Linked DNA regions of Macaca fascicularis. The protein of the gene in region 2 binds, or shares a complex with, the protein of the main gene of each other region. Links are inferred from orthologs where the notes say so. Each region holds a gene or a part of one and is shown on either strand. Other genes may lie near its edges. The genes, in order: PPARA, CREBBP and IRF3.

Evidence for each region.
Region 1: the proteins of CREBBP (region 2) and PPARA are in contact, whole or in part, in a crystal structure (PDB 9IWL), measured with the Homo sapiens proteins. The link is inferred for Macaca fascicularis from reciprocal best matches to the Homo sapiens genes CREBBP and PPARA. Residues at the interface, in NP_004371.2 of Homo sapiens: Asp62, Ala63, Ala64, Lys66, His67, Lys68, Gln69, Leu70, Ser71, Leu73, Leu74, Arg75; in NP_001001928.1 of Homo sapiens: Val284, Thr285, Thr288, Glu289, Lys292, Phe297, Leu302, Asn303, Gln305, Val306, Thr307, Leu309, Lys310, His457, Pro458, Leu459, Glu462, Ile463.
Region 3: the proteins of CREBBP (region 2) and IRF3 are in contact, whole or in part, in a crystal structure (PDB 5JEM), measured with the Homo sapiens proteins. The link is inferred for Macaca fascicularis from reciprocal best matches to the Homo sapiens genes CREBBP and IRF3. Residues at the interface, in NP_004371.2 of Homo sapiens: Leu2070, Thr2073, Leu2074, Lys2075, Ser2076, Ser2079, Gln2081, Gln2082, Gln2084, Gln2085, Val2086, Asn2088, Ile2089, Leu2090, Asn2093, Gln2095, Leu2096, Ala2099, Phe2100, Gln2103; in NP_001562.1 of Homo sapiens: Pro198, Gly199, Glu200, Glu201, Trp202, Glu203, Ser221, Leu322, Ile326, Leu329, Ile330, Thr333, Thr370, Cys371, Leu372, Ala374, Leu375, Glu377, Met378, Ala379, Val381, Gly382, Gly383, Ala384.

Annotation. Positions count from the first base shown.
Region 1 is NC_088384.1:5,389,563-5,400,451, forward strand, and holds part of PPARA (peroxisome proliferator-activated receptor alpha), read right to left. Parts: intron 10,208-10,889; exon of another isoform or gene 10,079-10,207; intron 3,522-10,078; coding exon 3,275-3,521; intron 1-3,274. UniProt on the Homo sapiens protein: Ligand-activated transcription factor. Key regulator of lipid metabolism. Activated by the endogenous ligand 1-palmitoyl-2-oleoyl-sn-glycerol-3-phosphocholine (16:0/18:1-GPC). Activated by oleylethanolamide, a naturally occurring lipid that regulates satiety.
Region 2 is NC_088394.1:4,553,510-4,564,398, forward strand, and holds part of CREBBP (CREB-binding protein), read right to left. Parts: intron 9,803-10,889; coding exon 9,700-9,802; intron 9,376-9,699; coding exon 9,229-9,375; intron 7,350-9,228; coding exon 7,232-7,349; intron 6,737-7,231; coding exon 6,565-6,736; intron 6,212-6,564; coding exon 6,167-6,211; intron 2,812-6,166; coding exon 2,687-2,811; intron 2,050-2,686; coding exon 1,870-2,049; intron 1-1,869. UniProt on the Homo sapiens protein: Acetylates histones, giving a specific tag for transcriptional activation. Mediates acetylation of histone H3 at 'Lys-18' and 'Lys-27' (H3K18ac and H3K27ac, respectively).
Region 3 is NC_088393.1:57,629,439-57,639,093, forward strand, and holds the end of IRF3 (interferon regulatory factor 3), read right to left. Parts: intron 9,387-9,655; 5' UTR 9,267-9,386; intron 9,051-9,266; 5' UTR 9,043-9,050; coding exon 8,791-9,042; exon of another isoform or gene 8,707-8,790; coding exon of another isoform or gene 8,647-8,706; intron 7,866-8,646; coding exon 7,694-7,865; intron 7,610-7,693; coding exon 7,539-7,609; intron 6,976-7,538; coding exon 6,795-6,975; intron 6,699-6,794; coding exon 6,321-6,698; intron 4,859-6,320; coding exon 4,743-4,858; intron 3,304-4,742; coding exon 3,118-3,303; 3' UTR 3,038-3,117; downstream 1-3,037. Other genes in the region: SCAF1 (splicing factor, arginine/serine-rich 19), read left to right, coding at 1,238-1,366, 1,674-1,865.

The DNA.
Region 1 (10,889 bases), on a different chromosome or scaffold from region 2:
TGTTTAAGCTGCTGGGGGAGGCGAGAGGGGGCTGGGCAGCCCTCCTAGCCACTGCCGGGAAAGAACTTTCCAGAGCTAGAGCCACACACCCACCCACTCCCGCAGCTCACACTAATTCCATATTTCAGAACAAGCTCTAGAGTATATTTTATCCAGAGAAAAAAGCGTATCTTTGAACTCTTTTACTAGACAATGAACTATATTTTTCACCCTGGGGGTGGGGCTGGGGGAGCCTGCCTTCCTTAAAAAAGAAAGGCAAAAAAGAAAAACAAACAAAAGCAAAATAAATCTTTTCAAACCCATAAAGAAAAAGTTTTTCTGATAAATAGCACAAATAGTCAGTGAACAGTGAACCAGCATGGGGTGTGTCTGTGATGGGTGAAGAAAGGTCGCACATTGTGGGGTTAAGGGCTGGGTTCTGGGCTGGTGATCTCCGGCCAGTCAGGATGTCCTGGGGCCTGCCTGCTTTCCTCCTTCCTTAAATAAACATAGCAATGACCTCACAAGGCTGCTCTTGGGCTTAGGCAAGCCGAGGTGAGAGGTGTGTGGGCAGCCTGCAGTGCTCAGGAAGCAATGGCGGTCATTGTCAAAGCCATTAACCTGGGTTTGCTGCAAGCAACCTACCCAGGCCACTCAAGGCGCCACCTGATGCGGAGCCTTTTCCTTGCTCTCCTCCAGCCTCCCTGTCCCCTCCTGCACTGCTCTGGGGGCCATCATCTCCCTAAACCTTCACTCTCTCCACAGTGCTTATCCTCTGCTTAATGCGCCAGAAGAAAGGGAGTCAAAACTTGCACCATCTGTAAAGATCTGCCAGGGTCACTCCCAAAGCTGCTCACTCACAAAGGCCCCCCAGAGTCCTCAAGGGCTCACTAGCCTCTTGCAATTCCTGATTGACTAAGCTGAGAACACTGCCACCTTTTACAAGGCACGATCACGCCAGCATGCAGAGAACAGCCCTCTAGAGCCAGCTGAGAGGCAGGGTCCAGGCCCGGGCGCTGTGTCTTTCTGGCTGTATGAACAGTGGCAAGTTACTCAATTTGCCTTGTTTTTTTGTTTTTTTTTTTTTTGAGACGGCGTCTTGCTCTGTTGCCCAGGCATTACAGGTGTACACCACCACGCCTGGCTAATTTTTATATTTTCAGTAGAGATGGGGTTTCACCGTGTTGGCCAGACTGGTCTTTAACTCCTGACCTCAAGTGATCTGCCTGCCTCGGCCTCCCAAAGTGCTGGGATTACAGGTGTGAGCCACCACACCTGGACTTTTTTGTTTTTTTTTAAGACGGAGTCTCACTCTGTGGCCAAAGCTAGAATGCAGTGGTATGATCTCCGCTCACTGCAACCTCTGCCACCTGGGTTCAAACGATTCTCCTGCCTCAGCCTCCTGAGAAGAGTAGCTGGGATTACAGGTGCCCGCCACCACACCTGGGTAATTTTTTGTATTCTTTAGTAGAGACGGTGTTTCGCCATGTTGGTTAGACCGGTTTTGAACTCCTGACCTCAGGTGATCTGCCCGCCTCAGTCTCCCAAAGTGCTGGGATTACAGGCATGAGCCACCACGCCCAGCCAAGTTACTTAATTTCTTTGAGCTTATTTCTGTATAGTCACGCACTACACAGTGACATTTGGTCAACAACAGACCGTAAGTTCAACTGTGGTATCATGGTCCCATAAGATGATAATACTGTATTTTTGCTGTAACCTTTTCTATTATATGTTTTGGTATGTGTAGACACACAAATACTTACCACTGTGTCACAGGGGCCTATGCTATTCAGTACAGTAACACGCTGTACAGTTGTGTGGCCTGGGAACAACAGGCTGCACTGCAGAGCCTCGGTGTGCAGCAGGCTGTTCCATCTGGGTTTGTTTAAGTGTACTCTATGACTTTCACACAATGATGAAATCGCTAAGGATGCATTTCTCACAACCTGTCCCTGTCATTAAGCAACATGACTGTAATACCCATGTACACACCACCCAGGTTTATCAAATATACAACCTAGAGAGAATTGGAGTCCCCAAGGGAGCCCTCCCCAATTCTCCCTCCGTCTCGTTCAGGAGGCGACTGAGTCCTTAAAGCTTGCAATATATGTATGTCTGTTTCCAACAGTGATGTACTAGATTGTTTAGTGTTAAAGATTTTACGTGGGCCAGATGCGGTGGCTCAGGCCTGTAATTCCTGCACTTTGGGAGGCTGAGGCGGGCGGACCACCTGAGGTCAGGAGTTTGAGACCAGCCTGGCCAACATGGTGAAACCCCATCTCTACTAAAAATACAAAAATTAGCCAGGTGTGGTGACAGACACCTGTAATCCCAGCTACTAGGGAGGCTGAGGCAGAAGAACTGCTTGAACCCGGGAGATGGAGGTTGCGGGTGGGCTGAGATCATACCACTGCACTCCAGCCTGGGCAACAAGAGCAAAACTCTGTCTCAAAAAATAAAAAAAGTAAATAAAAGATTTTACATTAATTGGATCTTAAATATATCATTAAGCTTGTTTATTTTCATTTGATGTTTCTTAATTTTTTTGTTTGTTTGTTTTAAAGACAGGGTCTCACTGTCACCCAGGCTGGAGTGTAGTGGCAATCATAGCTCATGGCAGCCTCGAGCTCCTGGGCTCAAATGGTCCTCCTGCCTCAGCATCCTGAGTAGCTAGGACCACAGGCATGCGCCACCATGCCTGGCTAATTTTTTTTTTATTAAAAAATGTTTTTGTATAGATGGGGCCTCACCATGTTGGTTAGGCTGGTCTCGAACTCCTGACCTCAAGTGATCCACCTGCCTCAGCCTTCCAAAGTGCTGGGATTATAGGCGTGAGCCACCACGCCTGGCGTAGTCTGTTCTTTTAAATTGCTATGAAGTATGCCACTGTATAAACGCATCCCAATTTATCTGTTTCCCTTTGACGCACGTCCAGCTTGTTTCCCATCCTTCCCTCTTACCAACAGTGCCTCCATGCAGACCCTTGCACACGTCTCCTCTTAAAAATGTCTAGCTGTCCCCCGTGGGCTTGCTGGGGTTAGGGTCTGTGTACTTTAGCTGCTCCCCGTGACTGAATCTCAAGCATTGTTTGATGCATGCATGGTTTTCACAAGAGGTTGCACCGTGAGCCGTGACACGTGCCTTCCAAGGCCCAGTGGCACTGGAGGTGATGCCTTACCACCTCTGAAGGTTTCCTTGCAAAAAAGTGTGACTTATTTTCCAGCTAAAAAGAACAGCTTTCTTTAGGAAGAAACATTTCTAAATAAAACTTTCTAGGAAACAGCACACTTACCCGTGATGACCGAGCCATCTGAGCCAGGACAGCTTCCTAAATACTGGTATTCTGTAAAACCGAAGCTTCCAGAACTATCCTCGCCGATGGATTGCGAAATCTCTTGGATGTTTCCCATTTCTTGCAGGAATTCTTCAGATAACGGGCTCTCTAGATCGCCAGCCTCGAGTGGGGAGAGGGGGCAGAGCGGGCTTTCTGTGTCCACCATCGTGACTGGATGGTGTTGGTTGCGCAGCCGAGCTCCAAGCTACCGGGAGGAAAGAGGAACAATTGATAAGGTTGACGTATAACAACATTCACTTGTTTGTTTGATTGATTGATTGATTGATTGATTGATTGTTTGGCGGAGTCTCGCTCTGTCGCCCAGGCTGGAGTGCAGTGGTGCAATCTTGGCTCACTGCAAGCTCCACCTCCTGGGTTCATGCCATTCTCCTGCCTCAGCCTCCTGAGTGGCTGGGACTACAGGAGCCCGCCAGCACGCCTGGCTAATTTTTTTGTATTATTAGTAGAGATGGGCTTTCACCACATTGGCCAGGCTGGTCTCGAACTTCTGACGTCAGGTGATCCGCCTGCCTTGGCCTTCTAAAGTGCTTTGATTAGAGGTGTGAGCCACTGCGCCTGGCCACTTGCTTGTTTTGAAATGCAACATCATTTATCATCGAAGATACGCCTGAATTCATCATCTAAACAGGAACAGTGCTGAGCCTCTCCTCTGGGCTTGGCTATTGATCAGCACGCTGTGAAAGTGAAAACCTTTAAACAAAATGTTGTAGGAGCCGCAGACCGAGGGCCAGGACTCACTCAGCCATCACTGACTCAGCAGCTGTGCGGAGCTCCATACAATGTGTTTGAGGTGCTGGGGACACAGCGGAGACACAGATCCCTGGGCTGGGCACAGTGGCTCGCGCCTGTAATCCCAGCACTTTGGAAGGCCAAGGCGGGTGGATCACTTGAGGTCAGGAGTTTGAGACCAGCCTGGCCAACATGGCGAAAGCCCGTCTCTACTAAAAATACAAAAATTAGCTAGGTGTGGTGGCAGGCGCCTGTAATTCCAGCTACTCAGGAGGCTGAGGCAGGAGAATCGCTTGAACCTGGGAGGTGGAGGTTGCAGTGAGCCAAGATCGTGCCATCACACTCTAGCCTGGACAACAGAGTGAGACTGTGTCTCAAAAACAAACAAACCAATAAACAAAAAAAAAAAAAAAAAAAAAAAAAAAACAGGGCCGGGTGCGGTGGCTCATGCCTGTAATCCCAGCACTTTGGGAGGCCGAGGCAGGCGGATCACGAGGTCAGGAGTTGGAGAGCAGCCTGACCAACACAATGAAACCCCATCTCGCCAGGCACGGTGGCTCAAGCCTGTAATCCCAGCACTTTGGGAGGCCGACACGGGCGGATCACTAGGTCAGGAGATCGAGACCATCCTGGCTAACACGGTGAAACCCCGTCTCTACTAAAAAATACAAAAAAAACTAGCCGGGCGAGGTGGCGGGCGCCTGTAGTCCCAGCTACTCAGGAGGCTGAGACAGGAGAATGGCCCGAACCCGGAGGCGGAGCTTGCAGTGAGCTGAGATCCGGCCACTGCACTCCAGCCTGGGCGACAGAGCGAGACTCCGTCTCAAAAAAAAAAAAAAAAAAAGAAACCCCATCTCTACTAAAAATACAAAAATTAGCCCGACTTGGTGGCGGGTGCCTGTAATTCCAGCTACTCAGGAGGCTGAGGCAGGAGAATCCCTTGAACATGGGAGGTGGAGGTTGCGGTGAGCTGAGATTGCACCACTGCACTCCAGCCTGGGCGACAGAGTGAGACTCCACCTCAAAACGACGACGACAACAACAACAAACAAAAACCAGATCCCTGCTCTCAGGGAGCCTCCCTTGTAACTGGGACACAGACGGTGAACAAAGAAATGAATGCACATGTGGAGTGTCCGGGGTGAGGCCAGGGAAGTTCACACTGATTAGGGGGCAGGAGATAACCTCAGGGAATGAGGGGGCAAGCTGTGTAAATGTCTTGGGGGAGAATGTTCCAGCAAAGAGAACACCAAGTGCAAAGGCTCCAGCCAGGATTGAAACATGCTGGCACACTCCAGGAACAACAGGCAGCCAGTGTGGCTCAGGCTGCCCATGGGGCGCAGGGAGCAGGGCCAAGCCGGTGGCATGTGTGCTGGGTGTGACATCCACTTGGGTGTGCTCTCCCTGTAGCCATGAAGGCAGCTCATGCAGGGGGTCCTCGATTGTGATGGTATGGTCAAGAATACTTTGTGGAGTCCAAATAAATCTAACTGGGTGAGTCTCAGACAATAGTGGGCTGTTTCAACTAGCAAAGCGAACAGCATTTCCATAGGGGTACAGTGACAAAGCAGCGGTTCTTCCCAGGTTGGTCTGTATCATGCTCTCGCTGAAACATCTTAAACCACTTCCTGGGACCTCCAGATTGAAGCTCAGTCTCCTGAGCACACTGTTCCAGCCCTTCCATATCTGTCCCTACCTGATGGTGCACTTGTCACCATTCTTCTACCTCCTGGAAACCCAGCAGCACCGAGAATTGCTTTCAGGATTTCACGTCTGCACCTTTGCCCAGGTGCCACCTGCCTGAACCGCCCTGCCCACCACTGCCTTGTAGAGGCTCTGCCTTGGGTCCACCTCCCTGAACCCAGCTGAGTCATCAATCGCCCAACGAGGCTGACTAGGTGACCTTTAGCTTCCAGAACTATCTTCCCTTCTGAAAATGGTCACATGATGCCCACAGATCACATCACGGAGAGGCTCAGGGGGCATGTGCTGCCACCAGCCACTGTCAGGGCAGCCGTCATCACATGGTGATTACGGAACGCCAGACTCTCCAGATGGAGTGAAGAATACTGTCCCAAAGACAATATTAATCCATTAAATGCATTTGCGTAAAAATACGTTCACATCTGAGGTTTGCTTAATGTAAACAACAGCTTTTAGTGCGGTGAAGAAGGGATGCTTTGGCTTCCTCTACCAATGAAAAATAGATACCTTTCATCCATTTTTGTGAAATTCACATCTTATGTTTGGAATTCTGGCAATAAATCATCAGAGTTCACAGGGAAATCATCAAATAGCACACAGGGAAAAATAACAGAGAACTGTTAACCTTTCATAGGGTTTAGAAGACTTTCTTTCTCTATAACCTATTAACTTAAATCAGGTTGTGAATCTGTACAGATTTTCTGTCGTATTTTATTCTGCATTCTGTCTGAAGGGAGATTTTTTTTTCAAATGGCAAGAAACATAATGGGGTAAGCATTACTTAAAATGTTTTTCACTATGAACAAAAAGTTCAAAAGTTGCAGTCACTAACTGACTATTAACCATGAAGTTCATTCCAATAGAAAGAAAGTAGCTGGGGCTGGGCATGGTGGCTCATGCCTGTAATCCCAGCACTTTGGAAGGCTGAGGTGGGCAGATCACTTAAGGTCAGGAGTTTGAAACCAGCCTGGCCAACATGGTGAAACCCCATCTCTACTAAAAATACAAACAAATTAGCTGCGCTTGGTGGCAGGTGCCTGTAATCCCAGCTACTCTGGAGGCTGAGGCAGGAGAATCGCTTGAACCTGGGAGGTGGAGGTTGCAATGAGCTGAGATCACACTTTTGCACTCCAGCCTGGGTGACAGAGCAAGACTCTGTCTCAAAAAAAAAAAAAAAGAAAGTAGCTTGGCAGAGACTGTGTGGGCTGTGGCCACCTCCCTTTTTCCCCCATCGTGTTCTCAGCACTGGGGTGGAAAATGCGTGTGGCCTATCCCTTTTATCCCTGCTAATATTCTCTCTTCTGGCCAGGAGCATCAACCAATATAACAATGTTAGTTTCCTTGTCATTACATTCAGGGAGTTTCAAAGTTTCACAATTTCGTCATTTTTAGTTGCTTTTAAACAATACCTGGGATTAATTTAGAGAAACACTGGTCTTGCCATGAATGAAGAGCTAACCAAGGTACAATCTCTATATAGAGTGAAGCAACTCTGGCCAGAGGGACTGGCTTTGTACAGATCATTGAACAAATTGGCCCTTCCTTGCTCCCAACAAGAGCAGATAAGGAACAGTTGCGTTTGGATGCATTCCCCAGATAGATAGCAGAGGCCAAACTCCCCAGATAGATAGCAGAGGCCAAACGGGCACCTGCCCCACCCTGCACACCCTCCCAGCATGCTCCTCCGACACCACTGGAGCTTCTGATCAGGAGCAGAATATCCCGGGGAAGTCCCCACCCCTTCCTATTACCCACATGACAGGCCACTGCCCAGCTCATCTACAAGAGTGAACCAGGCTGGCCGGTTCCTGTGTCCTGTGCCCCAAATGCTCAAGGGGAGGCGGGGGCGGGGGATCAAGACATAACCAACCATCTCTTTTCTCAACAACTGCAAACCCTGGTCCAGGAGGCAAGACAATGCAAACAGCACTGAATTAGATCTTCAGTTTCATAGCACAGATAGAGTCTCACATAAGCTGAGGGGTGAGGGACAGGTGGAGTGGATAGGGTGTTGGGAAAAGGTAGGGCTTCTCTTCTCGTCCCAGCAATGATGGAAGGTTCTGCCTGATCCTCTCATGCCTTCCTTACCTGAGACCTTTTACATTTCTAAATTCATAATTTTCTTTCCCTTACAATTTATTTTTTATTTTAAAAACTATTTAAAATATTTGTGGTACATACTAGGTGTATATATGTATGGGGTACATGAGATGTTTTAGTATAGGCATGTAATGTGAACTAAGCACGTCATGGGGAATGGGGTAGCCGTGCCCTCAGGCATTGATCCTTTCAGTTACAAACAATCCAATTACACTTTTTATTTAAAAATATACAATTAAGTTATTATTGACTATAGTCACCTTATTATGCTATCAAATAGTGGCCAGGCACAGTGGCTCATGCCTGTAATCTGAACACTTTGGGAGGCCAAGGCAGGTGGATCACTTGAGGTCAGGAGTTCGAGACCAGTCTGGTCAACATGGTGAAACCCGGTCTCTACTAAAAATACAAACATTAGCCGGGTATGGTGGCGCGTGCCTATAATCCCAGCTATTCGAGAGGCTGAGGCAGGAGAATCACTTGAACCCAGGAGGCGGAGGTTGCAGTGAACCGAGATCATGCCACTGTGCTCCAACCTGGGCGACAGAGTGAGACTCTCTCTCAAAACAACAACAACAACAACAAAAACCTAGTGGGTCTTATTCATTCTTTCTAGTTTTTCATACCTATTACCTATTTTTCATACCATCTTCACTGCCCCCTAACCCCTCACCACCCTTTCCAGCCCCTGGACCGATTTGATTTTTAGAGCCCACAAATAAGTGAGAACATGTGAAGTTTGTCTTTCTGTGCCTGGCTTATTTCACTGAACATAATGATCTCCAGTTCCACCCATATTGTTGTAAATGACAGGATCTCACTCGTTTTTACGGCTGAATAGTACCACATTGTGTATATATATCACATTTTCTTTATCTATTTGTCTGGTGATGGACACTTAGGTTGCTTCCAAATCTTAGCTATTGTAAACAGTGTTGCAACAAACATAGGAGGGCAGATATCTTTTGGATATTTCCCTTCCAATTTAAATGTTAGAGCTGCATCTTGTATATATCATAAGCTCCAACTACTGAGATTCTATTTTTAGGTCTTACTAACTAAACATTTATCAATCAAAATATTCCTTTGAGAACTATGAAACAGAGTATATGAAAATTGTAGAACATTTAAAAATAGACAAATACAAGAAGAAGTAGACATCAAATTATATCACTGTTTTATGTTACCTGAGCACAGGACAGGTGCAAACACTGGAAGGATTCTAACAGTAACTCATAACTAACACCAAGGTATTTTCTGTATCACCAGCTCTTAGATGCATGACTGTTTGGAAGATTAGGCTAAAATGAGTTATAAATGGGAGAAGAAGCTCCTCTTTCATGAAACCCTTTCACCTCTAGATTCCCACAGCATCTTGGGCCCAATTCTGGTGTAGTCCTGATTATCTGTGCTGTTGAAACTTTTTACATGCCTGTCTCTCCTACTAGACTGTACGCTTTGTGAGGCAAGGGAATGTATTTGCCTAATCTTTGCATCCATACTTCTAGCACAATCCCTGCTATGTAGCAGGTGTTCAATATCTATTTCTCTCTTTTTTTGCTTTTGAGATGGAGTCTCGTTCTGTTGCCAGGCTGGAGTGCAGTGGCATGATCTCGGCTCACTCGGGTTCAAGTGATTCTGTTGCCATTTCATGGGTACAAGTGATTCTGCTGCCTCAGCCTCCTGAGTAGCTGGGACTACTGGCGCGTGCCACCACACCCGGCTAATTTTTTTTTTTTTGAGACGGGGTCTCACTCTGTCGCCCAGGCTGGAGTGCAGTGGCACGATCTTGGCTCACTGCAAGCTCTGCCTTTCCAGTTCACACCATTCTTCTGCCTCAGCCTCCTGAGTAGCTGGGACTACAGGCGTCCACCACCATGCCCAGCTAATTTTTTCTATTTTTTAGTAGAGATGGGGTTTCACCGTGTTAGCCAGGATGGTCTCAATCTCCTGATCTCATGATCCGCTCGCCTTGGCCTCCCAAAGTGCTGGGATTACAGACGTGAGCCACCATGCCCGGCCAATTTTTGTATTTTTAGTAGAGACAAGGTTTCACCGTGTTGGCCAGGATGGTCTCGATCTCTTGACTTCATGATCTGCCCACCTCAGCCTCCCAAAGTGCTGGGTTTACAGGCATGAGCCACCGCACCTGGCCTCAATATCTATTTCTAACGATCGGCACAGAAGGAGCTCTCGGGAATTACTTACTCCAGGAGTAACCTGGTGACAGTCCGTGAGAATTCACCTCGGCTCTGTCTCCGCAGCCACAGCCTTGTCACCCAGAGGGCAAAGCGGCACACATAGTGTGTCCAAAGACTACAAAAATGTAATGGATATCTAGAAGAGAACTCAAAGGGATTCTGCATGGGAAAGGTGATCCAATTTGCAGAGTGAATTATAATCATCATAGGGACAGGAAAACACAGCCAGCAAAAGGGGAAAAAAAAAACCCTCTGAATACAATAGGGAGGAACAGATTATCAGTTTTACTCCCTTCCTCAGGAGCAACAGTTGCAGAGCTTGGGAAGTGTCCTGTGCTAAAAGGAAGTGGTTCGTATTAAGAGTAATGTGGTTTTGCCACTTGCTTGGAATAAAAGAAGCCTGAAGGGACCCCTCCGCTGTGGGCTCCCGGAGGGCAGCTGCTGTGTCTCACCCACGTGTGCACCCCTCTATTGGACATGGAGTTCTTGGATCCAGAAGGTCCTTTGGAAATATTTTCTTGTTGTTGTTGTTTTTTAGATGCAGTCTCACTCTGTCACCCAGGCTGGAGTGCAGTGGCACGATCTCGGCTCACTGAAACCTCACGCCTCCCGGGTTCAAGTGATTCTCCTGCCTCAGCCTCCTGAGTAGCTAGACTACAGGCACACACCACCATGTCCGGCTAATTTTTTGTATTTTTAGTAGAGATGTGGTTTGGCCATGTTTGGCCAGGCTGGTTTTGAACTCCTGACCTCAGGTGATCTGCCCACCTCAGCCTCCCAAAGTGCTGGGATTACAGGCATGAGCCACCATGCCCGGC
Region 2 (10,889 bases):
CTCCTTACCTGGGAACTATAAAATAAATAAAAATAAGAAAAAAAGTTATTGACCATAAATATATACATCCATAAGTACCCTTCCTTAACAATTAAAAATTAAAAAACATTCTGAAACACACACAGACACACACACACACAAAATTAGTTACTGAAAGAGAACTGTTCCAGTGCAGTGGTTCTATACTGGGCAGGCACTTCAGAATTATTTGTGAACATTTTAAAAATGATTCTGAATCACTGTTCTAGAGCAAGGGTTGGCAAAATCCCAGGGCCAAACACACTGAGCTGCTTGTTTCTGTAAATAAAGCTTTATTGGCACACAGCCACCTCATTTATGTAGCATGGCAGCTTCTGCACTACAAGAACAGAAGTAAATGAAAACCAAAACTGAATGGCCTGCAAAGCTGAAAATATTTAGTATCTGGCCCTTTACATGAAGTTTGCTGATCCCTGTTCTAGAGCAATGAAATGTTACGGAAAATTAAGAATAATTATTTAGTGAGGAAATCTAATATATAATAATGACTTATGCTGCATTATTTCACATTAAAAACTCAAAACAAGGCTGGGTGCAGCAGCTTACGCCTGTAATCCCAGCACTTTGGGAGGCCGAGGTGGGTGGATTACCTGATGTCAGATTGAGATCAGTCTGGCCAACATGGTGAAACCCCATCTTTACTAAACACACACACACACACACACACACACACCCATCTCTACTAAACACACACACACACACACACACGCTGGGTGTGGTGGCGCGCGTCTGTAATCCCAGGTACTTGGCAGCCTTAGGCAGGAGAATCGCTTGAACCTGCGGCTCTGAATCTGTGGAGATTGCAGAGCTGAGATCGCACCAGCCTGGACAACAGAGTGAGACGCAGTCTCAAACAAAACAAAACAAAACCACCAACTTAAAACAAGAATTTTATCTTTTAGGGAGGATTTGGTCTGTTTTAAATACATGTGTATTTTGTATACAGTAGCAATCATATGCACTACAACAAAAGAGGAAAAAAAAGGAATAAATGGAAAATCATTTTCTTCAGCTCTAGATTGAGAAATTAAAAACATTCAACAAGAAGAGAAATACTGAAATGATTCTATTAGCTTGACTTCACCTGGCAGTGGGGACAGGCCAAAAGATACGAAAGCCGAATCACCAAAAGTGAATTCACGGATCCTTCTCACTCCCTTTTTAAAATCCTCATGTCAGCCGGGCGCAGTGGCTCAAGCCTGTAATCCCAGCACTTTGGGAGGCCAAGACGGGTGGATCACGAGGTCAGGACATCGAGACCATCCTGGCTAACCCGGTGAAACCCCGTCTCTACTAAAAAATACAAAAAACTAGCCGGGCTAGGTGGGGGGGGCCTGTAGTTCCAGCTACTCGGGAGGCTGAGGCAGGAGAATGGCGTAAACCCGGGAGGTGGAGCTTGCAGTGAGCTGAGATCCGGCCACTGCAGTCTAGCCTGGGCGACAGAGCGAGACTCTGTCTCAACAACAACAACAACAAAATCCTTATGTCTCTCAGAGTCACATTAAACTCAGAATTTAAAATACACAAACAAAAAATAGGAAAACAAAAACCCCAAGATCAAAACACAAAAGCATACAAACTAAAAAATGTAAATCCATTACTACTTTTGCATATAGTTAACTCAGAGAGGATAAGAAAAAGTCCAAACAAGGTAAGGACTACAAGACAAAGGTGGGGAAAATAAAAGAGATGCTGATACACAGAAATGAAATGTGCATTGTGGAATTTTAATTTCCACAAAGGAAGACAGGAAAAAACAAAACAAAACAAAACACCTTAAAATGAGAATTTTATCTTTTAGGGAGCACGGTTCCCAGTGGGGCACAGTACCTGTGACACGCCTGTTTGGGCTGGCGGCTGCCCCATGCCCACACTCATCGCCCCGCTGGATGGCGGGAACTGGTTCTGTGGCAGAAACTGGCTCTGAGCAGGAGCCTGGGCCATCATGTTGTTGCTGTGTGCACCCATCATGTTTGGAGGCTGAGGCATTCGGGAAGGAGAAATGGCCATCTACAAGACAACAAGCACCACCAGAACTGTAGTTCCAAAGCTGACAGCCAGAGTTTTCAAGGTGAGCCAGAATGATCCAAGGCCTCACAACCCCAGAGGATGCCAAGCACAGGGCTCACATCCTGCCCTTCCTCATGGGAAGAGATCCCCACTTGCTAAGAACTCCCAGGCTCCTGGGCACTTTACACACTTTCTCAGGCAATCTCTCAAATGAGCCAGCTTCAAAATGTCCTCTGAATAGAAATCAATAGCAGACTATAATTTAAAATTTAACACATGCCTGCCTATGAGTTCTCTAAAGTGTTTAGAAAGCAGCCTCGGAAGAGCGAGCTCTCAGTCAATAGATGCTGACAATTCCCTGCTGGCCACATATCTGAGGCTGCCTTCTCCAGCCTTGGAACTGCCACATTCTCACAAAGTCACACATTCCTATGAATTTGTTATTCCAATAAAATAACTAACAGTCAAATAATTCTGTGTAGTAATGAAGATAATTTTTAAAGGAGAGATGAAAGAAATAAAGCAAAACCCAAATTCAAAGAAAGAACCACGGGATTCCCAAGTGACATGAATTCTGCTGCTTAATGTTCCATGTGAGAGGAGGGCTATCTGCAGCACAGCTAAAGAGAACACTTACCCCTGGCACTGAGCCCATGCTGTTCATCTGGACAGAGTGGTTCATTGGGGAGGCTGCACGAGGTCCCATGGGTGCTTGTGGCAACTGGACGTTCCCCAAGGACATGGGGTTAAACGAATTCATCCCTGTAAATGTACCCACAATGGTTCATTAGGAAAAGCACCCACAGGAAAACAGAATTACAACTTGCTAAATAAACTCTAAGTAAAATAAGATGGAACACACAGGCAACAGAAGACTGAAAAGCAATCACTCAATTAATCAATGAAGATGATGAAGGAACAGACTTCTCCACATCCAGAGAAAATGGCATCAATGTGGGGGTGGTGAGGGTGGCACGGTGAGGGGTTCGAGGGAAGGACAAGGACATGAAGGCATAAGGTTGGGTAACACAGGAACAAGTAAGTGAGACATTAAATGAGGCTGAGGTAGAGCTGAGCCAGAGGACAGAATACCGAACAAAGTATCATAGTAACAAAGAGGGTGAGGAGGTGCCCTGAAAGGACAGCACCCCCACAATCTACAGAAGAGATGTTTCCAGAGACCAGGGCAAGCTTCTGTGCACACCCATACCTAATGCCTCTGGAGCAGCTGGCGCCCATAACTGAGGCTTCCCAGCTCTCTGCTGGGTTTACATTCATTGTTAGAATCTGTGCTAAGACTCCAAACATTCTTTTAATTTTGCAAGCACTTTAAGCATTAAGAAGTGCCCAAGGGTCAGCCATCCTCAACCCCAGCCTCCTGTAGTTTACAGGAGCAACGCATCACTGAAAGACACTTCACAGCCAGTAAGTGTCTCCAGACTGTGGTGTCTAGTTCCTTCCAATTTATAACAATACTCTGTAAACTCTGAGTCTAAAGAAGCACCAGTTCAAATAAGTCTTAGGACCAACACTAAAATCTGAGAGAATTTCTGGAAGGTGTTGCCTTAGCGGTGCTGTAGTCATGAGAAGGCTCGAAGGATGACTCTCTCACGGAGCACTACCTTCAACGACTACCCAGAAATGGTACCTTCAAATAACTGAGTGCCAGTGCAGACCAGGAAGACTTTCCAGGGAGTCTGTAATGTAACCTTCCCCTCTCCTTGAGAATTTTTTTAAACAAAATGAAAAACAATTACTAAGGAACAGCATTTAAACAAATCTGTATTTACCCAGATGTGCTGGTAGGGAGGATGCTAAGTGCATAACCAGAAAACATCTATTTCAATATTCTGCTGGTAAACAGCATGCTCATCATACCCCACACCAGCAGCATCCTCCTATTTAGGCCCAAGTCCTGGACCAATCCCCAACACAGCATCCAGCCACTTTCCTAAGGCTCAATTTCTCTGACTCCTTGATTTCTTTCTCTCTTTTTTTTTTTTTTGAGATGGGGTTTCGCTCTTGTTGCTCCGGCTGGAGTGCAGTGGTGCAATCTCAACTCACTGCAGCCTCTGCCTTCTGGGTTCAAGTGACTGTCCTGCCTCAGCCTTCTGAGTAGCTGGGATTACAGATGTGCACCACCATGATCGGCTAATTTTTGTATTTTTAATAGAGATGGGGTTTCACCATGTTGGCCAGGCTGGTCTCGAACTCCTGACCTCAAGTGATCCTCCTGCTTCGACCTCCCAAAGTGCTGGGATTACAGGTGTGAGCCACTGTGCCTAGCCTGACTCCTTGATTTCTTTCAACCCTCAAATCTAGTCCATCAAAACAAGTCCCTGATAAGTATTTTTCCATAATATCAGCTTATCATGTCTTTTCCAGGATGCAATATGAATACAACTTTTTTTTTTTTTTGAGACGGAGTCTCGCTCTGTTGCCCAGGCTGAAGTGCAGTGGCGCGATCTCAGCTCACTGCAAGCTCCGCCCCCCAGGTTCACGCCATTCTCCTGCCTCAGCCTCCCAAGTAGCTGGGACTACAGGCGCCCGCCACCACACCTGGCTAATTTTTTTTTGTATTTTTAGTACAGACGGGGTTTCACTGTGTTAGCCAGGGTGGTCTCGATCTCCTGACCTCGTGATCTGCCTGTTTCGGCCTCCTAAAGTGCTGGGATTACAGGCGTGAGCCACCACGCCTGGCCCGAATACAACTTTTAAAATGATCTCTTCTACCTTCCCTCCCAAACTACTCTGCAAACCACAATAAAGCCTCTTTCCTCAGAGTCTTCTGGATAATGTCACCACCTTGTTTCACAATCTGGAAAAATGTCCTCCTGCTTGGGTCTCAATAGTCAAGAGCTACAGGGTTTTCAAATGCTCCCTGCCCCGAAATAAAAATCACTGCTTCAATCAACCAAAAACCATAGGCTCTCTACTTAAGAAACTTTCAAGGTTGTTGAGACAGCTGCTGCCACCCCAACCTGGCACAGGACCTGTGTGTACACACTCTCCAGAAGTTGACATCCAGCCAGCTGGGCTTAACCCCTAGGGCCAGGAGCAGCCCGTGCCGTCCCCATGTCAGCCTGTGCAAGTGCTCAGCAGTCTAGGAGTGTCTTGCATGCCTCTCCTTCTCAGCACTGAGAAGCACTCCCTCCCCACATCTAGAGTGCTTCTTTCTCAGACTCTTCCTAAGACTAATGTACCATGCCCCTTCACCATCCATTAAAAAAATAAAAAGCTGGGCTGGGCGCAGTGGCTCACAACTGCAATCCCAGCACTTTGGGAGGCTGAGGCAGGCAGATCACAAGGTCAGGAGATCGAGACCATCCTGGCTAACACAGTGAAACCCCGTCTCTACTAAAAATACAAAAAATTAGCCGGACGTGGTAGTGGGCACCTATAGTTGTAGCTACTTGGGAGGCTGAGGCAGGAAAATAGCGTGAACCCAGGAGGCAGAGCTTGCAGTGAGCCGAGATTGCACCACTGCACTCCAGCCTGGGCAACAGAGTGAGACTCTGTCTCAAAACAAATAAGTAAAATAAAATAAAATAAAATAAAATTTAAAAAAAGCTAAGGCTGGGTGCAGGGGCTCTCATGCCTGTAATCCCAGCACTTTGGGAGGCTGAGGCAGGTGGATCACAAGGTCAGGAGATCAAGACCATCCTGTCTAACACAGTGAAACCCCATCTCTATTAAAAATACAAAAAATTAGCCGGGCATGGTGGCCGGTGCCTGTAGTCCCAGCTGCTGGGGAGGCTAAGGCAGGAGAATGGTGTGAACCCAGGAGGCAGGGCTTGCAGTGATCCAAGATCACGTCACTGCACTCCAGCCTGGGCCACAGAGCGAGACTCCACCTCAAAAAAATAAAAATAAAAATAAAATAAAATAAATAGCTAAAAACTGCTTCTTATTTCTTGAAAGATCTTTCCTATAATCTCCAAATTTCATACTATAAACAGATCCATACTACCTGTAGAACAATTCTGCTCATCAGCAAAAAGGAATGGAAAGAAGAAAGGACTAGAAAGAAATACACAGGGGGAGAGGAAAAAAACAGTGAAAGTTATGGCTGTTGAATGTTAAACTAAAATATGATTCACAGCAAATAGTTCAATACCTTGAGAAACTTGCATGCGATTCACTGGCAGGGACAGAGGTCCATCTATGGCGGCAAAACAAAAACAAAAACAAAACCACCCTAGTTATTTAATATAATCCTTGATTCAGGAATAGGAAATGTCTTATTAGGACTTCAAACTTAAAAGGGAAAACAGCCAATAGGTCCAAAGGCACGTGTGTTCCAATGCCAGCGGACCCTGTAAAGGGCCTTCCCAAGAGAGAAACTCAGTGTCCCAACACAGCCTGAGGCAGGTGGTCAGGGCCACTGCCACATCAACAGTTTCCGCAGTGCACGCATCAGAGATTCTAATTCTCTGTTCTTAGAAATACACCCCAAACACGAAGGAAAACCAAGGAAACAGGCTAAGGGATGGCAGAAGGAAATAAAATGCTTACTTGGAGGTCTCACAGGTTGTGCCTGTGGAATCACAGGGGGCTGAGTCCCCGGGGCTGGTAAGGCTGGCTGGTTCCCCAAGATGCCTTGTTTATGTAAACGCGACCTCCGTTTTTCTTCTAGTTCTTTTTGTATCTTGTAGATTTTCTCTGCTAATAAGTGATAATATTCATCCTAAAAAGCAACAATATTCAATATGAAACAGTTAAAACTGTAAAAAGCAACTGAATGATCTGTGTTGTAGGTTCCAACTAATGAACTTCTTCATTGAGTACACTGGCAAAAGTAAGTATGCAAATAAATACTTGATGCACCAGGAGCTTTATAGGACATATCAAATAATAGGTACTAAATACACGGCCCACTTCATACCAATGAACTTTTGAATATTCACTGATGCTAGCAATATTACACCCACCACCTACTGTGAAAAATATATCCCATGGACATAATGTAAATTTATATATTCCATGTACCAATGTAACTAACCAAGAGAGTTCTGCAGGAAATTTGTGTCTTATCTGGGAAGTCTCTTTGGCCAGTGGCCTCAAGGTGAGGAGTTTCTCCCAACTACACAGATTCCACAATTTCTAGATAACAAAGCAGACAAATGCAGTGCTGTCTACTACAGATGCTGTAGAGGCCAGAGCACGATAAGCAGCAACCTACCCTGCTGTTGGCAGACTCGTACATGTCCCCTTCCACTTTCTTAGCATAGGCTACCAGGTTTTCCATGCGGCGATCCTTTAGAGCTGCGGGATCAGGTGTTGGGAAGATGGCTTGGACGCTGAAAGGATAACACATCAAACTACTTTTTTTTCCTTTCTTCTTTTTTTAAAGACATGGGGTTTTGGCCAGGCACGCTGGCTCATGCTTGTAATCCCAGCCCTTTGGGAGGCTGAGGCAGGAGAATCACCTGAGGTCAGGAGTTTGAGATCAGCCTGGCTAACATGGTGAAATCTTGTCTCTACTAAAAATACAAAAATTAGCTGGGCCTCGTGGTGGGTGCCTGTAATCTCAGCTATTCGGGAGGCTGAGGCAAGAGAATTGCTTGAACCCGGGAGGCAGATGTTGCAGTGAGCTGAGTGCCATTGCACTCCAGCCTGGGCAATAGATAGAGCGAGACTCCGTCTCAAAAAAAAAAAAAAAAAAAAAGACACGGGGTCTCGCTCTGTCACCCAACCTGGAGTACAGTGGCATGATCATAGCTCACTGCAACCTTGAACTCCTGGGCTCAAGTGATCTTCCCACCTCAGCCTCTCAATTAAGGAGGGAGGTACAGGTGCACACTACCATGCCTGGTTAATTTTTAAATTTTCTGTACAGATGGAGTTTTGTTATGTTGCCCCAGCTGGCCTGAACTCCTGGGCTCAAGCAATCCTCCCGCCTCAGCCTCCCAAAGCACTGGGATTACAGGTGGGGGCTGCTGCACCTGGCCTGAAGCTACTCCCAATGCTGTCAAATGAGCACTACAAAATCAGGATCATGTATCTCTGGTGGCAATACACTGTGGAGAGAAATGCCAAGCCTCTCTTGCCCAGCATATCAATATATGAATGAAGTAACTCCCTGGAGACAATCCTGACTTACCAACTTATCTACACATCAAACACATCAATATTTTGCTATTAACAAGTATGTGCTGGGTCATTTCCAGAATAACACGATTTTTAAATCCCTGATTTTTAAACTACTTACTACTAAAAAAATTTGATCAAAATAAGGAATGGAAAAAACTCAGGGAATATAAGTCTAGTTCATTTAAAATAACTAGCTCAACAAAGTTAGGCTTCGTGTGGTGGCTCATGCCACCCAGCACTTTGGGAGGCCGAGGCAAGAGGATTACTTGAGGCCAGGAGTTTGAGACCAGCCTGGACAACATGGCAAGACTCTGTCTCTAAGAAAGAAAGAAAGAAAAAAAAAAAAAAAAAAAAAAAAGGCCGGGCGCAGTGGCTCATAATCCCAGCACTTTGGGAGGCTAAGGTGGGCAGATCACTTGAGGTCAGGAGTTTGAGCCCAGCCTGGCCAACATGGTGAAACCCTGTCTCTACTAAAAATACAAAAACTAGCTAGGGGTGATAGCACCCACTTGTAATCCCAGCTACTCGGGAGGCTGAGGCAGGAGAATCGCTTGAACCTGGGAGGCAGAGGTTGCAGTGAGCTAAGATTGCGCCCTGCACTCCAGTCTAGGGTACAGAGCGAGACTCCGTCTTCAAAAAAACCAAAAAGTTAACTTAACTTTGTTATGTTAACTAACTGTAAGGTGATAATGACATGCCATCTATAAACTCATCCAATTCTGAGGAGTCTCCACAACTAGAATCTGGAACTACAAAATAAGGTGAGGTTCTTGAGCTAACCCCAGCCGCCTCATGCAGCATTAAGGCCAGGCTGCACTGAGGGTCTTTGCCTCCGTGACAGGGGCTGTAAGTCAGTGCCCCTCGGCAGTATAGAGCCACCAATGCTCTCTTTGTCACCCCCGCTCACCGAGGACATGAAGTGCGGGAATCTCTGGCCTGCCTAGGGCTGCCAGAGTTCTACCAGCAGTGAGAGTGGCTCCCTAAATAAGCACGTGACTTGTATAGGATCCTAGGGTACTGTCATCCGGTAGTCAATGGGCAACACAGGAACAAAATCATCTATGAAACTGTAAAACTGTTACGTACAGTTTATGCACTAGATGGCTCCGCAGGTCCTGAGTGACATGTTCGTGCCAGCCTTTCCTTACACCAGTGCTGGAAGGAGGAGCTGCTGTTGGTATAGTGCTGAGGGTTCCAATGTTACCAGAGTTGGAGCCATCGTTCATCAGTGGGCTATGGAGGAAATAAGGACACTTCATCCATCTACTGAAGCGACTCAAACATACTTTGTCTAATAAGGTTCTTCTACCACCACATGTGACTTCTAAAAGTTTAAGTCAGGAGAGCCAAGTAATGTATATAAATAAAACTTAAACTATGTTTAATCTATTATCTGCTCTACACTTACAATTAAAGAAAAAAAGGAAAACAGCATTCACCCCTCACCACCCCATTTAAACTATTTTCTCTGCCACACATTTAGAAAGAATCAGTTTTGTGTGGTTCTCAGTCCACGTTCTTGTTGGACTGTCACTCAGAACTGAAACAGGGTCTTACTTTGTGGCCCCCAAGGAAGTCGGAAGAGCTGATTCTGAAATCAAGTTTGGGGGCTGCTGATCTGTTGTTATTCCTCCTGCTGGAATGTTCATTGGATTATTTCCTTTAAAGACAGAAAGAAATCAATCAACTCTTAAATTTTAATATATACTTCAAAGTTTTGATGACAGATAACCAACATGTCATCACATAAACAATTGGTGATTATTTAAATAAGTGATTCTGGTCAGTTATAATAAGCACTGAGGCAGGAACCCCGAGTGTCATATTTTCAATAATGGTAATCAACGTGCACAAATAATCAGTAGACACCTCCCCACTCTACTTGGTAACCAAAGTAAGGTGTGTTTATGGAGATTAGCTGGTATCTAAGTGAAAAAGTTATAAATGATCCATATGCAGCCTCTGACTTTCATTCTGCTTCATTAGTATCACTTCTGAGTGACTCAGCTGCACTGACATATACCTCTGTGTCTCTACCCCCAATATCAGAAAATAAAATCATAGAAATTAAGCTCAGGAAAAAAATACAGAGGTCAATTTGTCTACAATCTTCATATTAAAGTAAAGGAAGGCCGAGATTAATAAAGGTTAAGTTTGTCCTAAATTATACCATCAACAGGAGAGGAGTTAGATTAAGACTTGGGTCTCAGGACTCTAACCCAGTCTCCTGGCCACTATTAGTTAGACATTCACTGGGGCAGTTGTTTTCCAAAAAGCAACAAATAAGATGACTTTAGCTGGGCATATTTTAAGGAATAATTGTTAACCGTAAAATACTTTATTAGGAAAAGAACAAAACTAGCACAGCCAGCCAGCCAGTCTGGACTTCACAGACATCACTGCTTAGCTTAAGCCTAGATGTAAAGGGACTGTGTCCACTTAAAGAAAAATATTAAGGAAACCATATGCAGAAATGGCAAAAATCATGGGTATGTGTGAGCAAATGACCAAAGGTGGGCAAATAATGGGCTGGGGTGACAAAAGAAATGCTGACATGTCCAGCAGCCTGGGAAAAGAGTTTCCAGGGCTCCTGTCATTAACCTGCCGAAGTCCAGGCTGGTCACTTCCAACTGTGGGGTAGACCCTAACCAAGATGTGTGAGGAAGTGGCAAACGCAAGTTCTCCATCAAATAAATGACAACAGTCAGCACGAGGGGTCCAGTCAGCATCCTGACTTGTGAGATCTG
Region 3 (9,655 bases), on a different chromosome or scaffold from region 2:
AAGGGACTATCCCTTGTGCCTGCAGAAGGTCGGTTCTTCTCTGGTCCCATGTGGCTCTCTGGCTAGAGGTTTCCTGTCTGCTTTTGCAAAGATTCCGCCTGAGGCCAGGGATGCAACTGCTGCCCCGAGCCTGTGGCTGGGGGATCTCCTCGCTTGTTGGCCACAGGCGGGAAGAGCCTTGTCTCGGAGGCTCTTTGCCCTGCCCACTGTTCTGTCCTTCCCTTTTCGTCCCACGGCCATCCCCCTTGGAACAGGCACAGCTCCCCTGGATTGAGTCTTTGCTCTGTACCTGGCCTGTGCCATGTCCTTCATGTGTGTCACTGTAGTCCTCCCCATAGGTGCTGTCCGCATTTTATAAATAAGCCACAAAGGTGGCCAGGCGCGGTGGCTCGTGCCTGTAATTCCAACACTTTGCAAGGCCGAGGCGGGTGGATCGCTGTAGCCCAGGAGTTCAAGATCCGCTTGGGCAACATAGTAAGACCGTCGCCAGAAAAAGTACAAGAATTAGTCGGGCGTGGTGGTGGCACCTCTAGTCCCAGCTACTCAGGAGGCTGAGGTGGGAAGATTGCTTCAGCCCAGGAGTCCAGGGGTACAGTGAGCAGTGACTGTGTCACTGCACTACAGCCTGTGTGACAGGGAGAGACCCTATCTCAAAAACAAAGAAAAAGCCACAAAAAGGAGGTTTGGCTGAGCATCCCAGGGGTCAGAGACAGGGAGTGGCAGACCAGGCTTCCGATACAATGGGCTTGAGGTCAGTCCCCACCCCCACTCCTCAGTGCGCCTCCATCCCCTTGGTGACCAGAGCAGTATTGTAAAAACCTTTTAAACTGAGTCCTCCCCCTTTCCACGGTGAAAAGCCCTGTGCAGCTTTCTACAGCCCTGTCTGTAGAGTCTGATTCAAAACCAGCTGCAATTGCTTGGCCAATGCCTGTCTTCTCATCAGACCGAACTTTGTGAGGGCAGGCAACGCATGTCTCCTGGTCCTGGCCAGGCCTGGAGCAGCCCAGGGTTCAGCCTAGAGGAGATGTTCAGTGACATGCAGAGCACAGGCCTGGCCTTTGGTCCCAGGCACCTGCAGCAGAGGGTGCATGGGACAGACCCTCAGCAGGACTTCCAGCCTGAGAGCAGCCAGACTGTCCGAGAGGCTAGGCTGGCAGCAGAGGCGAGTGGAGGTGGAGGTTCTGCAGGTACTCACTGGCCCTTGCTGTCTCTTCCCCCGCTGTCGCCACCCCACCAGTATCTGAAGAAGCTGCACACACAGGAGCGGGCGGTGGAGGAGGTGAAGCTGGCCATCAAGCCATACTATCAGAAGAAGGACATCACCAAGGAGGAGTACAAGGACATCCTGAGGAAGGCCGTCCACAAGGTGGGCACCCAGAGAGAGGGGCAGACACAGGCCGGGGAGAGGACGAACTGGAGGGCCAGATGTGTACAGACAGATGGACGCGGATGGGAGACGGGGAGGTCAGTCTGGGAGGGTGATGGGATTTTCTCAAGGCCACCTGGGCTTGTTCCGCTGGCCCTGGGGCACCCATCATCTAGGGGGACAGAGGAACTTTGGCCTGGTTATTGGGGAAGCTGCTCCTACCCCAGTCCCAAGCTGCACCCAGCAGTCCCGGGTGGATGGGACTCCGGGAGCCTAGTGGTGACTCCGGCTGTCCCCGGCCCCCCAGATCTGCCACAGCAAAAGTGGGGAGATCAACCCGGTGAAGGTGAGCAACCTGGTGCGGGCCTACGTCCAGCGCTACCGCTACTTCCGCAAGCACGGTCGCAAGCCAGGGGACCCCCCAGGGCCCCCACGGCCGCCCAAGGAGCCAGGGCCCCCGGACAAGGGTGGCCCGGGCCTGCCCCTGCCCCCTCTCTGAGAGCCCTGGCCAGCTCTTCGCCCCTCGCCTCTTTGAAATTCTGGACATATTTATGGCTCCACCTCCCCACCTCCCTCCCCCATCAGTGGGATGATTGGGGGAGGGTTGCTGCAGGGAAGAGGAGAGCCCCCTGCCCTTCCCTGCCCCGTGCCCACCCCCCTTGCCCCCAAGCCTGTCCCCAGTGCCCCTCCCTTCTGTTCGTGCCCCTCTCCCCAATTTCATTAAAGATTTCATGAAACATTACCCCTGAGCCCCATGGTTCTAACCCTTTGTTTTCAGAGACAAATTTGCCAGAGGGTTGAGGAGGGGCCCCTAGGAGGCTGAGGGTGGGAGAAAAGGGAGCCAGACTGTGACTTGGGGCAGCTGCCTCCCCTGAGCCTCAGTTTTCTCATCTGTATAGTGGTGTTGTGAGGATTGAACAAGACACCGGTGGAGCACTTAGCACAGTCTCTGGCAGGGAGCCAGCTGCTCACAGGGAGGCGGGGCCAGCCCCCACCTGATCAGCATCCTCCCAGCTCAGGGCACCTGCGTGCCATGTGCCTGCCTTGGAATTGCTCCCAGAGCAGGATCTGCGTTCCCCATTGAGTTGGCTTTTCTTTTCAGCAGCCCCGTGAAGCTGGGGTGATCTCATCCACTCTCCCGAGAGGGAAACTGAGGCACAGAGCAGCAAGGGCCGAAGGGTGAGTCAGGGCTGCGCTGGCTTCTGCCAGTTTCATCACCCAGAACTGAGGCCTAGCCAGGAGAGGTGACAGTGCCCAGGGTCACCAGACAGGCAGGCTTTGCAGGCTCTAGGGTGGCCGCAGAGCCTTTTTACCAAGGCCCCCTCCAGCCCCATGTAGAGGGAGCCTGAGCCTGGAAGGAGAAGGGCCGTTTGCCCACACTGTTCATAGGCAAGGCAGGGACCTGGGTTCTGGCCAGTCTTTGTGTTTCCTACTCTGTGACCTTTGTGCCTCTCCCAGCCTGTGTCTTGGTCTACAAAATGGGGGCAGCCATCAGCCACCAGGTCCCTGGGCAGAGGTGAGGAAATGTCAGCTGCCCCCTGCAGTGCTTGGTCCTCATGCATTGAGCACCTGAGTTGTGCATAGCTGCACAGATGGGTAAACTGAGACCCTGAGCAGGAATAACAACCAGCTTGGGTCAGAGGACACCCAACACCAGACACACACAAGAGGTGATCATAGCAGGAACCAGTTTATTGGTTGAGGTGGTGGGGGGTGGGGAGGTTAGAGGCCACACCATGAGGAGCGAGGGCTCAGGTCTCCCCAGGACCCTGGAAATCCATATCCTCCACCAGGTCCTGCAGGTAGGCCTTGTACTGGTCAGAGGTGAGGGACAGTGGGTGGCTGTTGGAAATGTGCAGGTCCACAGTGTTCTCCAGGGAGGAGGCACCCCCTACCCGGGCGATTTCTACCAAGGCCCTGAGGCACGTGGGCACAACCTGCGGGGGAAGTGGGGACAGGAGTCATGGAAAACACCCGGCCAGTGTCCACCAAGGTAGGAGTCAGGGCTGGGAGAACTACAAGTCCCTGCAGCCCCCGCTGTAACCCAGGATGAAACACACACACACACACACACACACACACACGGCTGGGAGAACTACAAGTCCCTGCAGCCCCTGCTGTAACCCAGGATGAAACACACACACACACACACACACACACACACACACACACACACACACGGCTGGGAGAACTACAAGTCCCTGCAGCCCCTGCTGTAACCCAGGATGAAACACACACACACACACACACACACACACACACACACACACACACACACACACACACAGGGCTGGGAGAACTACAACTCCCTGCAGCCCCCGCTGTAACCCAGGATCACACACACACACACACAACTCCCTGCAGCCCCCGCTGTAACCCAGGATGAAACACACACACACACACACACACACGGCTGGGAGAACTACAAGTCCCTGCAGCCCCCGCTGTAACCCAGGATGAAATACACACACACACAGGGCTGGGAGAACTACAACTCCCTGCAGCCCCCGCTGTAACCCAGGATGAAACACACACACACACACACACACACACACACACACACACACACACACTCTACAACTTCCTGCAGCCTCTGCTGTAACCCAGGATGAAACACACACACACAAACACACACACCTTCCTGCAGCCTCTGCTATAACCCAGGATGAACCATAGGCCCAGGGCTGCTGGGAGTTGTAGATTTCCCTCTACACACACACACACACACACACACACACACACACGCATATGAGGCTAGAGTATTCCCAGATGTCAGGGCTGAGCAGTCTGTGATCTCAACTCGTGGGAGCCACAGCCATGGCCTCACAATGGCAGCTAAAACTTGAAGTCCACCAGCTTCGACATGGTTTAGAGCAGAGGTCCCCAACCCCCCACGGCCTGTTAGGAATCAGGTTGCCCAGCAGGATGTGAGCAGCGGGTGAGGGAATATTACTGCCTGAGCTCTGCCTGCTGTCAGATCAGCGGCAGCATTAGATTCTCAGAGGAGCACGAACTAATCGTGAACTGCACACGCGAGGGATCTAGGCTGCTCCTTAGGAGAATCTAATGCCTGATGATCTGCAGTGGAGCAGTTTCATCCCCAAACCACCCCCTCCCTGTCTGTGGAAAAATTATCTTTCGTGAGACTGGTCCCTGGTGCCGAACAGCTTGGGGACCACTGGTTTGGAGAGTTCAAAGCAGGTTCTGCAGGTGAGGCCGTGGGAAGGAGCTCCCGGGGATGAAAAACTGGTTATTGCAGAGATCTTGGAAGTTGCAGTTTTTTAGAGGGCCCTCTGGGAGTTGGAGTTCCTGGGAGCAACCTCTTCCCTCTGTAAGGCCACCCCTCTCAGCCCCAGGGACTCAGGTCTGCAGGCACCTTGACCATCACGAGCCTCTTGGTCCATGGCTGGTCCTGGGGCCATGACTCCCCCACACAGAACCAGAGGGCATAGCGTGGTGAGCGTCCACTTCCTTCTGTGAAGGTGATCAGATCTGGGGGCCCAGGAGTCTAGTCAGTGATGAGAAGAGGACCCTCTACCCGCCCTTCCCCGTAAACTTGAATGGCAATCCCCACCATTTCCCCTGACCTAAGGCCCTCTGCTGCCTCGCCCAGAGGACTGCTTGTTTGGGGAAAGTCCCCATGATTCTGTTTGTATACTTCCTCCTCCTTCCCTCTCTCCCTCCCATCATGGTGGGGTTGTTGGAAGGCCCCCCACCCCCGCAAGCCCCCAAGCCTCAGCATTCACAACAGGCCCAGAGTAGGGGGCCCAGGCTTCCAAGGATGCCAGTGAATCTGGAGGAGAAGCTGGTTGGCATTCAGTCCCCTCTGAGGCCGCACTGTCCAACTGCAGCCATTAGTCATGTGAGGTCATTTCAGTTTAAATTGTAATCAATTAAAACGAATCGTAGGCCGGGCGCGGTGGCTCAAGCCTGTAATCCCAGCATTTTGGGAGGCTGAGACGGGCGGATCACGAGGTCAGGAGATCAAGACTATCCTGGCTAACACGGTGAAACCCCGTCTCTACTAAAAATACAAAAAACTAGCCGGGCGTGGTGGCGGGCGCCTGTAGTCTCAGCTACTTGGGAGGCTGAGGCGGGAGAATGGCGTGAACCCGGGAGGCGGAGCTTGCAGTGAGCTGAGATCACACCACTGCACTCCAGCCTGGGAGACACAGCGAGACTCCGTCTCAAAAAAAAAAAACAAACAAACAAAAAAAACGAATCGTGTCCTGGTGGCACTCGCCTCACCCAAGTGCTCGGCCCTTGTGGCTAGTGGCTGCTGCACTGGACAGTGCAGGTGACTGTCATTTCCATCATGGCAGAAAGTGCCACCGCACAGCGAAACCCTAAGGGACATAGCTTTCCTGCTATTGGTCTGTCCACCATCATTAGTTACGATAATGATGACAGCGGCAGCTAATTCCCCGAGCATGCTGTGTACTGGGCCTGTGTCTCACCCCAGTGCTGGCAGGCAGGTAGAGAGAGGAGACCGTCCTCGGATTCCACGGGCTCAGGGCAAAGTCCTTTGCCTCGGGTTATACAGTGGGCCAAGGGCAGCCAGGGTCTGAATTCAGTCCTAATCCTGAGTTTTTGTTGTTGTTGTTTGAGACAGAGTCTGGCTCTGTCACCAGGCTAGAGTGTAGTGGTGCGATCTCGGCTCACTTTAATCTCTCCCTCCCTGGTTCAAGTGATTCTCCTGCCTCAGCCTCCCGGGTAGCTGGGATTACAGGCGTGTGCCACCATGCCCGACTATTTGTTTGTATCTTTAGTAGAGATGGGGTTTCACTATGTTGGCCAGGCTGGTCTCAAACTCCAGACCACGTCATCTGCCCGCCTCGGCCTCCCAAAGTGCTGGGACTACAGGCGTGAGCCACCGTGCCCGGCCAATCCTGAGTTCTTAACCACTGTGCAGTCTGCTTTCTACTGGGCAGGGCGAAGCCCCCATCTCACTCACCTACAATGAAGGGCCCCAGGTCGAACACGCCTCCTTCCTTGTCCTTGGGGACCTCGCCATCAGGCCCATGCCCGCTGTTGAGCAGCTCCTCGCTCACTGCCCAGTATGTGTGGCAGTGCCCCAGCCGCTGGGCCCAGAGCCGCTGCCCGGCCCGCCGCAGAGCCAGTCCCCCACCCAGGGAGCTCAGCACGTGCCTCACGTAGCTCATCACTCCCCTGTCTGTCAGGGACATGCCAGGGTCTGGCAGTGTGATTGGCCATCCAGGCAGCGTCCTGTCTCCCACTTCGGACCCCACCAGCCGCAGGCCCTCCGGGCAGGAGATGGTCTGCTGGAAGACTTGGCGGCCCCGGTAGAAGGCTGTCACCTCGAACTCCCACTCTGAGCAGTGGCAGCAGCCGTGTGAAGGGGAGAGAGATTGAGAATCAGGGGCTGCCGCCCAGACCTCAGCCCTCCCAGCCTGCAGCTGACACTCACCTTCCCCCGGCACCAACAGCCGCTTCAGTGGGTTCTCAGAGGGCTCCAGGTTTGGGAAGGGAGTGGGACTGTCCAAGCTGGGGCTCCGCAAGGGCTGAGGGGCTACAGCCAGGCTTGGGGGTCCTGGATCTGGCAGTGGGGCCAACACCATGTTACCCAGTAACTCATCCAGAATGTTTTCCTGGAGGGAAACAAAGAAAGAGAATCAGGCATTTCCATAGTCTTTTCTGGAGACTTCCTATGGACCAGGTCTGTTCTCAGCAATGCAGGGAGGTGAGGCTTGAGCTCTGCCTTCAAGGGGCTTCCAGCATGGGGACAGAGCCAGCCATGGCATCAACAGCCAAACACTCTAATGAACGCCAGGTGCTACCATTCCAACCCAAGGATCTGGCTCTATGCAGGTAAGACCTGGGCGGGGCAGGCTGGGTAGAATTTCAGAGGGGATGCTCCCCCAGCTCAGGCCTCAGCAGGATCAAGGTGAGGGAGTTTTCAGTTCCCAAGAGGCTGACAGCCCCCTGCCGAAGTCCATGAAATCCTGGGAAGGTGTGCTAGGGCCTTGAATGCAGGGTGAAAACTCGGAATTTTCTCCTGAGGAGACTGGAGCAGGAACAGACGGGGCCACCACTGGCTCAGGTAAGGGGCAGGCTGGAGGCAGGGAAGCGGGGGGATGGTCCACAGGGAGAGGACAAGGCCCATGGGGACACGACAGAGACTGAGGGGCATGAAGGTTGGGCACATTCTCACCTGGGTATCAGAAGTACTGCCTCCGCCATTGGTGTCCGGAGAGGAGTCTGGCTGGGAAAAGTCCCCAACTCCTGTTGAGAAAGGTGGTGAGGGGAGTAGGGGTGCCAGGAACCCTTGGGACCCCAGCCTCCCACATGAACCCCGATCTGGCAGACCTGAGTTCACAAACTCGTAGATCTTATGTGGGTCGTGAGGGTCCTTGCTCCGGTCCTCTGCTAAACACAACCCATCTTTGCGGTTGAGGGCAGAACGGAAATTCCTCTTCCAGGTTGGCAGGTCTGGCTTATCCCTCCCGGGAACGTACGCACCAGTGGCCTCGGCCCAGGCCTGGGGCAACAGTGGTGTCAGGATAGTGGGGGAGGACGACTTAGATCCTGCTCCTGGGGCCCTAACCCTGTCTCCTGGATCCTAACACCACCCTCTTTCCCTGGCAAGTTCTAAGTCTGCAAGTTCCATCCCCAAATCCCCCCGTCCTATCTACCTCCATCCCCCACCTCGAGTTTTTAAAAGCCTTTTTTTCTTTTTGAGATGGAGTTTCACTCTTGTCACCCAGGCTGGAATGCAATGGCGCAATCTCAGCTCACTGCAACTTCCGCCTCCCTGGTTCAAGCAATTCTCCTGTCTCAGCCTCCTGAGTAGCTGGCATTACAGGCGGGCACCACCGCACCTGGCTAAGTTTTGTATTTTTAGTAGATAATTTTGTATTTTCACCAATGATTTTGTATTTTCACCATGTTGGCCAGGCTGGTGTCAAACTCCTGACCTCAGGTGATAGCCCGCCTCGGCCTCCCAAAGTGCTGGGATTACAGGTGTGAACCACGGCGCCCGGCCCAAAAAACTCTTCTTTCTAAGCCAGGCTTCCAAGTCCAACTTGGTGTCTAACCCCGTGCACCACCTGCCCCGCGACACCCTCTGTGATAACCCCGCCCCTCACACTGTTTACCACCTCTGGCATATACTAATTCAGTGGTTAGGAACCCCAGATTTGGGGCTCCAGGTCTCACCTCTGATGTTTCAAAAACCATCCCCCAGTATCTATCCTACAACCAAGAGCCCCGGCCCCTAGAGAGCCCCAAAACCCCAGGATTCATTTCCTTTGCGTACTAACCGGCTTTCCCGGTTTTATTGCCGTAACCGGGCAGCTCCAACCCTGCTTGCGTCCCACCATCAGTCAGCTGATCCGGCTAGCCCCGCCCCTCCCGTTCTAGCCCCACCCACCAACGTTGGCACGAGCCAGCCCCTCGGGCGATACCTCCGCCGTCTCAGCCCGGCCCGCTAGGAGTCCTTTCTGCCCCGCGCGCAGCTCAGGGTTTCCAGCGTCCCCGGTCGTCTCACGCACCTGGAAGATTCTGAAATCCTCCTCCTGTGCATCCTGCCGTAGGCCGTGCTTCCAAGGGATGCGGAAGCGCGTGCGGCTCTCGTTCACCCAGGCCACGCCCTCCAGTTGCCCCAGGTCCAGCTGCGACACCAGCCAGGGCAGGATCCGTGGCTTTGGGGTTCCCATGGTCCGGCCTGCGCGTATAGGGCATTTTCTGGGCGCGACCGGCCTCCCCCGGACCCACCTGGCCTGGAGTTTCCGCACCCAGAACCCTCCCTCTCACGGGCCACGGCACAGGTCCTTCACCCATATTTTCGGGGGTACAAACAGGAAACCTCCTCTTCCCATCCTCCCATCTTCCCGAGAGGCTCCTTAATCCGCTAGGGTTCCTTCCCATATCCATGGCATACCCTTCCCCAGTGTCTTCAGTGCAGACCCTCCACTCTCTCAATTCCGCCAGTATAGACCTCCTCTCTCCCCGACATCATCGAAAGCAAGTATCCCCACTTTCAGGGTAGCATCCTCTTTCCCTAGTTATTTCAGTGCAGAATCGATTCACGTGTAAGCCTCTATCTCCTGCATTTACCCCAGTGTAGATCCCCTTCCCCAGTCCCCCTACAGAAGATCCCCCGAAACATTTCCAACACAGAACTTCCATCCAATTCCTCCTCGACTGCCAGCCCCCCTCCTCCAGGACAGAGCACGCCTCAGGTTTCGGGAGTGAACTACACCCATGTACGGAGTCCATCCTTCCCTCTGTAGAACCCCTCAGTGTAGACGCCTCCTGTTTTCCTCTTTC